Linked DNA regions of Caenorhabditis elegans. The protein of the gene in region 1 purifies or fractionates together with the protein of each later gene. This does not show direct contact. Each region holds a gene or a part of one and is shown on either strand. Other genes may lie near its edges.

Region 1 (5,237 bases):
TTTCGAAATTTCCGGGTGATTTTAAAAAGGCTTTTTGTTTTCTATATTACGAAAAAAACTTAAATTTTTTTAGAAGATAACTTTTTTCAGCAGCATCAAGAATGTCGTTTTAGATTTTTTACAAAAAAAGGAAAAATCTAAAAATTCCCGTTTCCCAATTTTTCGAAAAAAATGTCTCGAAATGTTGATTCTTGTTCAAGTAAAACAAAATTATATGTTTTCTTCTGTTTTTTCATCAAAATAAACTGAAATTTAAGAAGAATTGGATTTTTGTTAATTTTCTAAACCTTCTTCCCGATTCTTAAAAATATCTAAAATTTTCGTTTTTCAATTTTTCAATTATCTCTGAAAAATCGAGAAGTTTTCGATGACACCATAAACAAAATGTTGAATTTTTTGTCAATATCCTAAAAAAACTTTTACGATTTTCCAGAAAAACGTAAAATTTTTCGACGACGCCCTTGACGGCGGCATACAGACTTATTTCTGAGAATGAATTCAAATAGGAAAATCTCAAGAATAATGAGAAAAAGCACAATCTAGACCTGAAAATGCACTTAAAAATGATAAGGTGAGTAAAGGGCAAGAATGTTGATAAGAAATGATGCAGTAATAGTTTTTAAGTGATTAAAACAGCAAAGTATTGTAGGCGTAGCTTTTCTTGAAAACAGATTTATCAAAAAATAAGGAGAACGAACAAAAAACGGGGTATTTTTAATAAACAAAATGTGATAACAGAACAACAAGCGAGTAGTAGGAATAGGTTGGAACAATGATCAGATTGCAAACAAAAATATAGAAGACAACAATATGGAGAAAAACGAAATTTTGAGATAGAGCGAAGATTACTCTTGCATAGCTTCATCATCTTCTGCACTTTCAGCCTCTTTCATCTCCTCGTCATCGAATTTCAAATCATCAAGCATTTCGGCAAGAGTTGGAGCATCTGGATGATCTTCTGCGTCGTCTCCATCAACATTTGGTCCTTTCTCTGCGTCCTGCAATTTATTTGGTTTACAACATTATATCATTCTAATTTTCTCTCACTTTATAAATATTAATCTTCTCTCTCATCAGTGCATCTTCTTCGATATCCTCCATAAATCCTTGGAATTCATCAGCAACTGATGCCGTCTCATTTCCAACAATATTACCATCAACAACCAATCTCTTCAACTTCCATTGACGTTTGGCTGTACGACGAGTTCTATCGAATACCTGAAATTCATAAAATATTGAGTATTCCTCCAAAAACTGTAAAAATACCTTTCTGACAATAATTGCATCCGGAACATTATCAATGTTCATGGCATCGAAAGTTGCATTATTCACATTGCAGTTCTTCATGTCGAATGCTGAATTTTAAAAATGTTTTTCCAAAAAAATTCTAATCAGAAACTTTAGAAGTAAGTAAATAAAGTTATACACAATAATTGAAACTAACCCATAACCAAGTCTCCAGGTGATAACAAGTGTCCAATGTGAGTTCTAGCTGATAGAGATTGAGCATCAGACATTCCAACTTGATCACTTCTCACCAACCATACATCTGCCAATTCGTGTTTCTTACTCACATATCCGTGGCCTGCCTTTCTCTCAAAGTTATTTACAGGTTCCACATCGAGAACGTAGAATTCTGTCAATTGTTTTGGTCCGCAAAGAGAATCGAAAGGCTCTCTCCAGAAATTAGTTCTGTAATATGCCAATTTTCATTTCTTTTCTAGATATTTGTACTTACGCTTGAACATCAACCAACTGCAAATTGTTGGGGTCGATGAGAGTGATGACATTCGAGACACGAAGACAAAGAACGATTTGTGACATATTTCCGTATTGTTGAGCCTGTTTCTTTGGGAGACAAACGATATTGTCTCTGCAGATTGGTACGATTTCAACGCAGAAAGTGTGTTTGTAATCGTATGTGTTGTTTTTGGTATCGTGAGAGACAAGTTCCTGAAATAAGAAAATGTCATAACTGATGGTGAATATAATATGGTGTTTTGCGAACTGACTCGTAAGAATTCAGAGAATAATTTGAAAAAGGGGTGCGCGGCAATTCTACAAAATGATACAGTTTGACATGTTTTTCTAATATGTTTCATCAAAATGTAATGGTAAAATACATAAAAAATAATTGCTTTGCCGGAAAAAATCAGATAAATTATCAACAAAAAAAACAATTCGGGTAGTTTTCAACGTTCAGTAATTTTTTGAGCACTTTCAGTTGTTAATAAAAAGTTATTTTCAGATAAATCAAAACATTTTTTTTACATTTTACTGAAAAATATTGGGAGAGCATGCCCCTCTGGCTCATTTCGTAAAAATGCCGGTCGGCAATTGCTATGCACCCCTGATTTGTAGGCAAACTGATGTCAATTATTTCAGCATCATCGACTTTCACAAACCTGCGCGTAGTGATATTTGCATGGAAGTACAGTCATCAAAAAGTCGACAAATTTTCTCGCTTCTTGTTGTTTCGCAAAGTAAAAATCAATTCCAGTCGGAACAGGCTTGACTCCAGTACATTCTTTGTGAGCGGAGTGTTTGAGGAGAAGTTGTTCCAAATAGAAAAGAGTCTTCTTGAACTCTGCACGTTGACGAACTTGCACACAAGCACGCCAGAAATCTTTGGCTTCAGCACGACGACAATCATCGCACAATTGACTGTGAACGGTAAACTCAACGACGACAGCTTGTTGTAGGATTGTATTAGTGAATACTTCCTTTTGAATTGTGATTTTCACTTTGATACGCTTGGAGTGAGCTTCTGTCCATACAAAGCACGCATCGGTCAGACGAACCTAAATTTTGGATTTTATTGAAAACTGAAGTGATTCCGTGAATGATTTACTTTCGTTAGCATTGGCTTCAACTTTTTCAAGCAAATCGAAAGAAGTTCTTTGGATTCCAGTTCTGCTCTCATCCATGCACTTGGTGGAACAAAGTAACGATCACAAAATTTGCACATGTAAATTGTGCCTGAAATTTGAAAAATTATTATTTCAACAATTTTAGAAAACTCACATTGCCGAGTGATTCCCTCGGTAATATCTACCCTCGAGCGAAGGCATCCACTGCACATATTCGCTGGATTTGGTTCAATCGCAACACCGCATTCGCAGCAAGCGATTAGACCAACTGTCGGTTTTATGTCCAGGGATTGCATTTTGACTGAAAAAAAATATATAATTACTGCAAAATCAAAGCGATCTGCTTGCAAATTCTTCAAAACTACGAATATTGAGGATATCAAAACATTTTTTTAGGAAGAATGGAGAAAAATTGCGAAAGAAGAATGACCCTGCAAACGTGCTCGCCCGAACTTTTCAAGTAAGACATTTGAGCGGATAATTCAAATAAAATATCCAAGCAGGAACAATATAATCCCTTAAAGTTTCTCATTTAAAAAGAGGGTGAAAAGTTTCCTCTTCTTTATTTTAGTTACAAATTCATTCAACAGAAGTTAATAAAGGCGAGAGATGAGGTAAGAGCATGCAATAATAATAATACTAATTGGTATGCAATAAATAAAAAATAAAAATCAATTTTAGCACTATTCAGTTGTGGAAAGTGCACTTCTTTGCATTCGCTTTGCGAGACGAGCCTTTTGAAGTTTGTAGAGAACATTGCCGGTATCGGATTCCTCTCCGCGATGCCTTGTATAGCCGTCGGCAGCGTGTCCAGTACTGACACCGAGAGAATTAATCATTAGACGAGCTGAAAATTATATCTTTAGTTTTTGCGAAAATTTAAAATCATTTAATGACAATTATTCATCAATAATTTTGAGTTGTTTCGTCTTTAAACTTAGTTTTAAAAAGAAAATACCATTATTCATAATCCTCTCATCATCATTCTTTGTATTTATCACTGGTGAAACTCCGTATTCGTACAAATTTTTCACTTCTTGGAAAGCTCCTATCATAGTGTTAAGTCGATGGAGAAGCATTCCGAGAGTTTGAACAAAAAGAATAATTAGAAGGAAAACAACAATTCCCATTCCAAGTGGATCTATTTTTAATGGTTCATCGGTTTCCTCGTATTGTCCAGTCATCTCATTCATTTTCGTCCATCGGAAGTTTTCTAGAAAAAAAAAACAAATTTTTTGAATTGACCATAAAGGTAATATTGCTTACTGATTGGCGAGAACTTGATGCTGAGCACATTTTTGTGTTTCTGAATCAAAAAGATGGCAAGAGCAAGAAGAGAATTAACGAGAAGAATAGTGAAAGCAATCTGATTTCGTAGAGAAGCCAATCCTTCGGCGACGGCTTTCATTTCAGCTGGCGTCGTCTTGATCGGTTTCAGATATGCATTGATGAGCTCGTTCCAGAAAACCTTTTCCGCACTTTTCAGTTTTCCTCGTTCACAAACTTTCAAGCTATGACTTGTCATCCACACATAACGGTTTGCCTTCTGAATCTCTTTTTGAGTCTTCTCTACGTTCTCTTCAATCGGAAAATCTGCAGTTTGAGTTTCTTCTTCACGTTTCTCCTTCTCCTCTGTTGCATCGAGAATTTTCTTCACGTCGGCACCACTCTGAAAATAAATTATTAATTTCACATTTCTAAAGTTAAAGATAACCTCAATACTTCTCAAGGCTAGCTCCATTCTCTGCATTTTCTTTTCCATTTTCTCTCGTCTCTCTTCATGTTCCTTCTTCTCCCGACAACTGATTAATCTGAATCCCTTTTTCACAATATCAATCACTCTGTCTATAAATTGTTCCATAGGCGCTTTTTTCGTCTTTTGTCCCGTTGCCTTAGCGACAGCTTCACGAGTTCCCCACGTGATAACGTTGAGATTGATGAGCGAATATAAAGTGAGGAACACATATGTAGATGGAATCATGAGGAAGAATACGACACCATGGATAATATTCGTGAATTCTTTTGGATGAAGACATGCAGCAAAGAAGAAGATTCCGACCATTGTGACAATGAAGAGAGATGTAGGAGCGAGAACAGCTGAAAATTGTCGTAATCAGGATGAAGGGATAATGTAAAAACGCACTCTCGAGAACAATTTGACTGCTGGTAGCGACTAACACAGCCAACATTACGAACGCGTACGCAATCGACATGTACTTGGCATAGATAAGTTGAATATTCGACTCTGTTGTGAAACAAAGAACAATGAAAAATCCTATCGGAATTCCATTATAGAGCATCACATCAGATCCTCGAAGTTCAAAAGCAGCAACTTGGGCGAATACGAGCATAGTGAATATAATGGCA
Region 2 (5,132 bases), on another chromosome or scaffold:
TTCCATGTTTTTTCGAACCAGGGAGTGGGTTACGAATTGGGTTTGTTTCGAACATTAATTCGAGAAATTCCTAGAGAAATTTAATTTTTTAGTTTAATTTAAGCTTTCACAAAACTCACTGATGGATCATTGAGTAGATTTTCCCGAAATATTGGAAATTGTAAGAAGAAGCTATTGAACAGTTGCAGAATTAGTTTCCTATCGGGACATCCTGATCTCTTAAAATGTTTTAATTAATTAATTCTAATGTTAATCTTGAATCTTACGCTTGTAGTATCCAGCAATACTTCTATCACATTCTCGCAGCCTTCTTCGTCCTGATTTGCCACTTCTTTTTGCAAATTTTGATATGGTATTGATTCAAAGTCCAACTTTCCATCATCTGTCAGCTGAAAACTTTCGCATAATTTTGTTTTTTAGTTCCAAAACTCACTTCTCGTATGAATCGGTTCAAATTCTTCCTTATTATTGTTGTGGAGTTGTCAATTGAATCCATAAAACTGCAGTACTGAAAACAAAAACAAAAATAATGTTTTCTATCATAATCTTAAAGGCGCATGCAAAGAAAACCGTTCACAGGTCTCGAAGCGAAATAGGTGATACGGTTGTTTTTTTCAAATATTCCTCACTTTTGGTTGCCTTCTTTTCAACATTTTATTTGTTTCCCGATAAGTTTAGACGCCAATTTTTATTTCAAGGGAAATAATTTTATTTAGCGAAAATTATCAACATTTTTTCTTGCTTTGTTCTCAAGTTTGGCTTCATTTTTCTTCTGAAAATCACAAGAACGATGAAAACAACAGCGTATAAACATGAATTTAATTTCGCAATCAAATTATTTTCGAAATAATTCGTTAAGATGTACTTAAAAATTTAACAGCACATTTTATTTTTGTGAATATCTACTTTCGAAAAGTAAGTAAAATACATTTTACTCGTTGTTTCCGTTCTCACCAAACACAGAAATATCAGGTCCGCGAGTACCCAACAGCCGCGAAAGTTTTTGTCAAATGCGCTCCATCGTACTCTTTTGCGTCTGCGATGAATTCGAACAGGAAAGGCCGCGAGGAGACTTTCCCCGCGCGCGCCGGCGCGTGTCTTGTGATAAAAACTGGGATGGCCGCTGAGCATGAATCCGACGATTTCTCCCACTTCTTCCGTTTTTTGTCTCTCACACGTAAAATCTGCTTCACCGCTGTTTTTTTTCCGTTCTCATAGCAAATAATAGGTGTGTAGTGTGTCACGTGCGGCGATTTTGTTGCTTCTATTTTCATTCAATCTTTCTCATTTCGACATTTTCGACGCGCGTCTCGGCCAAAAATATTCAGAATGGTCCTTCCGTTTCTCAATTTCTTCTCCTGTCTTCATGTATCTGCAAACAAGTAAACATGCGAAAAAAAATCACATGACCCCTCCTCAATAGCTCCTACGCTTTGTTTTCAATGTTTTCCGAACGTAAAGAGAGGGCGCAAGTCATGCACATCACGTGACAAGACAAAGCGGGACGGGTGCACTCATCGAGGTGTCCTCAATCGATTTTTTACCGTTGCTTACAATAACATCGCGCGCTCTGTCCCAATTCAGCAAGGTCGCACACAATATTTTTCGCAGTGAGATTTGTTTGGCCGAACTTTTGCATTCAGCATTTCTCACTTCCTAGTCTTGAATAGATCCTTATCAATCCAGTAATTTCGAAACATTTGACTGTCAAAAGTGACGATGATGAAAGAAATATCTCTCGTCTTCTCCCATCTCCAATTTCCGTTTCTGAATTTATTTCTGTCAAACTTTAGGTCAATATTTTTTCCCTCTCTTGACATATATTTTCTACACCTTTTGGTTTGCAAATTTAAAAATAATTTTCTTATTTTCAGAACTGGGCTAGATCGATCGTCCCATCGTCAACAGTCGGTTGTGTGAGAGAGCGTGAGAGTGTGTGTGCGAGTGAAACGATATTTTGGCCTAATTTTCCAGCTTCACTGTGAGAAACACAGGATTTCTGCCCGAAAAGCGAGAGCCTGAACCCCGCCAGTTTTGTGTGTGCGTGAGTGTGTGAGACTGAACTGGAAACTACTGCCGATTTTTGCGAAATTTGATCGCTGGTAAGTTATTTTATATTTATAGTGTTGGTCAATAAATGCTATCAATTTCAGAAACCGACAATAAAAAAACATGGCTGTCTCAGCAATGGAAGTGCTCTCTGAAGCGAAGCGTCAATTCGCCCAAGGTGACCGTATCGATGTGACTCTTTTGGATCAAGTCGTCGAGATTATGAATCGAATGAGCGGAAAAGAACAGGCCGAGGCTAACCAAATCCTCATGTCGCTCAAGGAAGAACGCGATTCGTGGACCAAAGTCGATGCGATTCTTCAATATTCGCAGCTAAATGAGTCCAAGTATTTTGCACTTCAAATCCTTGAGACTGTCATCCAACACAAATGGAAGTCGTTGCCACAAGTCCAACGTGAAGGAATCAAGTCGTACATCATCACCAAAATGTTCGAATTGTCTTCTGATCAGAGTGTCATGGAACAAAGTCAACTGCTTCTTCACAAGTTGAACCTCGTTTTGGTTCAAATTGTCAAACAAGATTGGCCAAAGGCATGGCCAACATTCATCACCGATATTGTTGATTCATCGAAGAACAACGAGACCGTTTGCATCAACAATATGAATATTCTGAGCTTGTTGAGGTATTTTGAATTAGTTTTAAAATGTTTTGCTACATTTATTATATTTTTCAGCGAAGAAGTATTTGATTTCGGATCCCAAAACCTCACCCAAGCCAAGGAACAACATCTGAAACAACAATTCTGTGGACAGTTCCAAGAAGTATTCACACTGTGTGTCAGCATTCTCGAGAAATGTCCATCCAACTCTATGGTTCAAGCTACCTTGAAGACTCTTCAACGATTCCTCACCTGGATTCCAGTTGGCTACGTTTTCGAGACAAACATCACGGAATTGCTGTCTGAAAACTTCCTTTCGCTTGAAGTGTATCGTGTCATCGCTCTTCAATGTCTCACGGAAATTTCACAAATTCAAGTTGAAACCAACGATCCCAGCTACGACGAAAAGCTTGTCAAAATGTTCTGCTCTACAATGCGCCACATTAGCCAAGTTCTATCTTTGGACCTCGACCTGGCTGCTGTCTACAAAGATGCTTCCGATCAGGATCAGAAACTCATCAGTAGTCTGGCTCAATTTCTTGTCGCGTTCATCAAAGAGCACGTTCATCTGATTGAAGTAACTGATGAGCCATTAACTGAGGCTAAAATTTTAATGCGAGAATCTCACGACTATGCTATTCAACTTCTTTTGAAAATCACTTTGATCGAAGAAATGGAGGTTTTCAAAGTTTGCCTCGATTGTTGGTGCTGGTTGACTGCTGAGCTCTACCGTATATGTCCATTCATTCAGCCAAGTACTCTTTACGGAATGATGAGTCAGGTTCGTGAGCATCCACGTCGTCAACTCTACCGTGAATACCTCTCGCAACTTCGTTCAACAATGATTTCTCGAATGGCAAAGCCAGAAGAGGTGTTGATTGTGGAAAATGATCAAGGAGAAGTTGTTCGTGAAATGGTCAAAGATACTGATTCGATTGCTTTGTACCGTAACATGCGTGAAACGCTTGTCTATTTGACTCATCTTGACAACAAGGACACTGAAGTGAAGATGACTGAAAAGTTGGCATCACAAGTGAACGGAGGAGAGTTTTCGTGGAAGAATTTGAATCGTTTGTGCTGGGCTGTTGGTTCGATTTCTGGAACGATGGTTGAAGAAGACGAAAAGCGATTCCTTGTTCTTGTTATTCGTGATTTACTCGGGCTCTGTGAACAGAAACGTGGAAAGGACAATAAGGCAGTGATTGCGTCAAACATCATGTATGTTGTCGGACAGTACCCGAGATTCCTTCGAGCTCACTGGAAGTTCCTGAAGACGGTTATCAATAAGCTTTTCGAGTTCATGCACGAGACTCATGAAGGTGTACAGGACATGGCTTGTGATACATTCATCAAGATTTCCATAAAATGTAAGAGGCATTTCGTCATCGTCCAACCAGCTGAGAATAAGCCTTTCGTCGAAGAGATGCTCGAAAATTTGACTGGAATCATCTGCGATCTTTCTCATGCACAAGTTCACGTATTCTACGAGGCTGTTGGACACATCATTTCTGCGCAGATAGATGGAAATCTGCAAGAAGACCTGATCATGAAGCTTATGGATATCCCAAATCGCACATGGAACGACATCATTGCAGCAGCATCCACTAACGACAGTGTGCTCGAAGAGCCGGAGGTAATTTATTTTAAGGGGTTGGCTTTTATATTTATTCAAATTTCAGATGGTCAAATCTGTCCTGAATATACTAAAAACAAATGTGGCCGCCTGCAAATCCATTGGATCTTCGTTTGTAACCCAACTCGGAAATATCTACAGTGATCTTCTATCCCTCTACAAGTGAGAATTAAAAAAAAAAGAAGTTCTGTTAGTAAACCTAATTTTTTTAGAATTCTATCCGAGAAGGTGTCCCGAGCAGTGACAACCGCCGGCGAAGAGGCTTTGAAGAATCCATTGGTAAAGACGATGCGAGCTGTGAAGCGAGAGATTCTCATCCTTCTATCGACATTCATTTCAAAGAACGGAGATGCCAAGCTCATTCTGGACAGTATAGTTCCACCATTGTTCGATGCGGTTCTCTTCGATTACCAGAAGAATGTGCCACAGGCGAGAGAGCCGAAAGTGTTGTCTTTGCTCAGCATTCTGGTCACACAACTTGGAGTCAGTTATCTTTTGAAATTTTGAAAAAATTAAAATAAAATAAAAATAATTTAGGGCTTGAAGAAAAATTTTCAAATTCGTCTCAACTCTTAACTTTTAAATTTCGAAAATTTCTCAAAAATTATAACTTTATCAAATTATTTTTCAGTCTCTCCTCTGTCCACAAGTGCCGAGCATCCTCAGTGCGGTTTTCCAATGCAGCATTGACATGATCAACAAGGATATGGAAGCGTTCCCCGAGCATCGAACCAACTTCTTCGAGCTGGTGCTTTCTTTGGTTCAAGAGTGCTTCCCGGTTTTCATGGAAATGCCTCCAGAGGATCTTGGAACAGTCATCGACGCCGTCG

Evidence for each region.
Region 2: the proteins of T25G3.3 (region 1) and xpo-1 fractionate together in Caenorhabditis elegans (co-fractionation; one large-scale study listed by BioGRID). This does not show direct contact.

Annotation. Positions count from the first base shown.
Region 1 is NC_003279.8:7,557,773-7,563,009, reverse strand, and holds T25G3.3 (60S ribosomal export protein NMD3), read right to left. Parts: upstream 3,172-5,237; 5' UTR 3,167-3,171; coding exon 3,025-3,166; intron 2,980-3,024; coding exon 2,852-2,979; intron 2,802-2,851; coding exon 2,406-2,801; intron 1,954-2,405; coding exon 1,739-1,953; intron 1,693-1,738; coding exon 1,445-1,692; intron 1,356-1,444; coding exon 1,267-1,355; intron 1,219-1,266; coding exon 1,048-1,218; intron 999-1,047; coding exon 846-998; 3' UTR 661-845; downstream 1-660. Other genes in the region: Chitin synthase chs-1, read right to left, coding at 3,554-3,717, 3,829-4,083, 4,137-4,539, 4,585-4,967, 5,014-5,237.
Region 2 is NC_003283.11:7,803,190-7,808,321, forward strand, and holds the start of xpo-1 (Importin N-terminal domain-containing protein), read left to right. Parts: upstream 1-1,874; 5' UTR 1,875-2,102; intron 2,103-2,153; 5' UTR 2,154-2,172; coding exon 2,173-2,693; intron 2,694-2,744; coding exon 2,745-4,302; intron 4,303-4,348; coding exon 4,349-4,464; intron 4,465-4,514; coding exon 4,515-4,785; intron 4,786-4,933; coding exon 4,934-5,132. Other genes in the region: uvs-1 (UV-stimulated scaffold protein A homolog), read right to left, coding at 1-70, 120-218, 267-389, 434-496.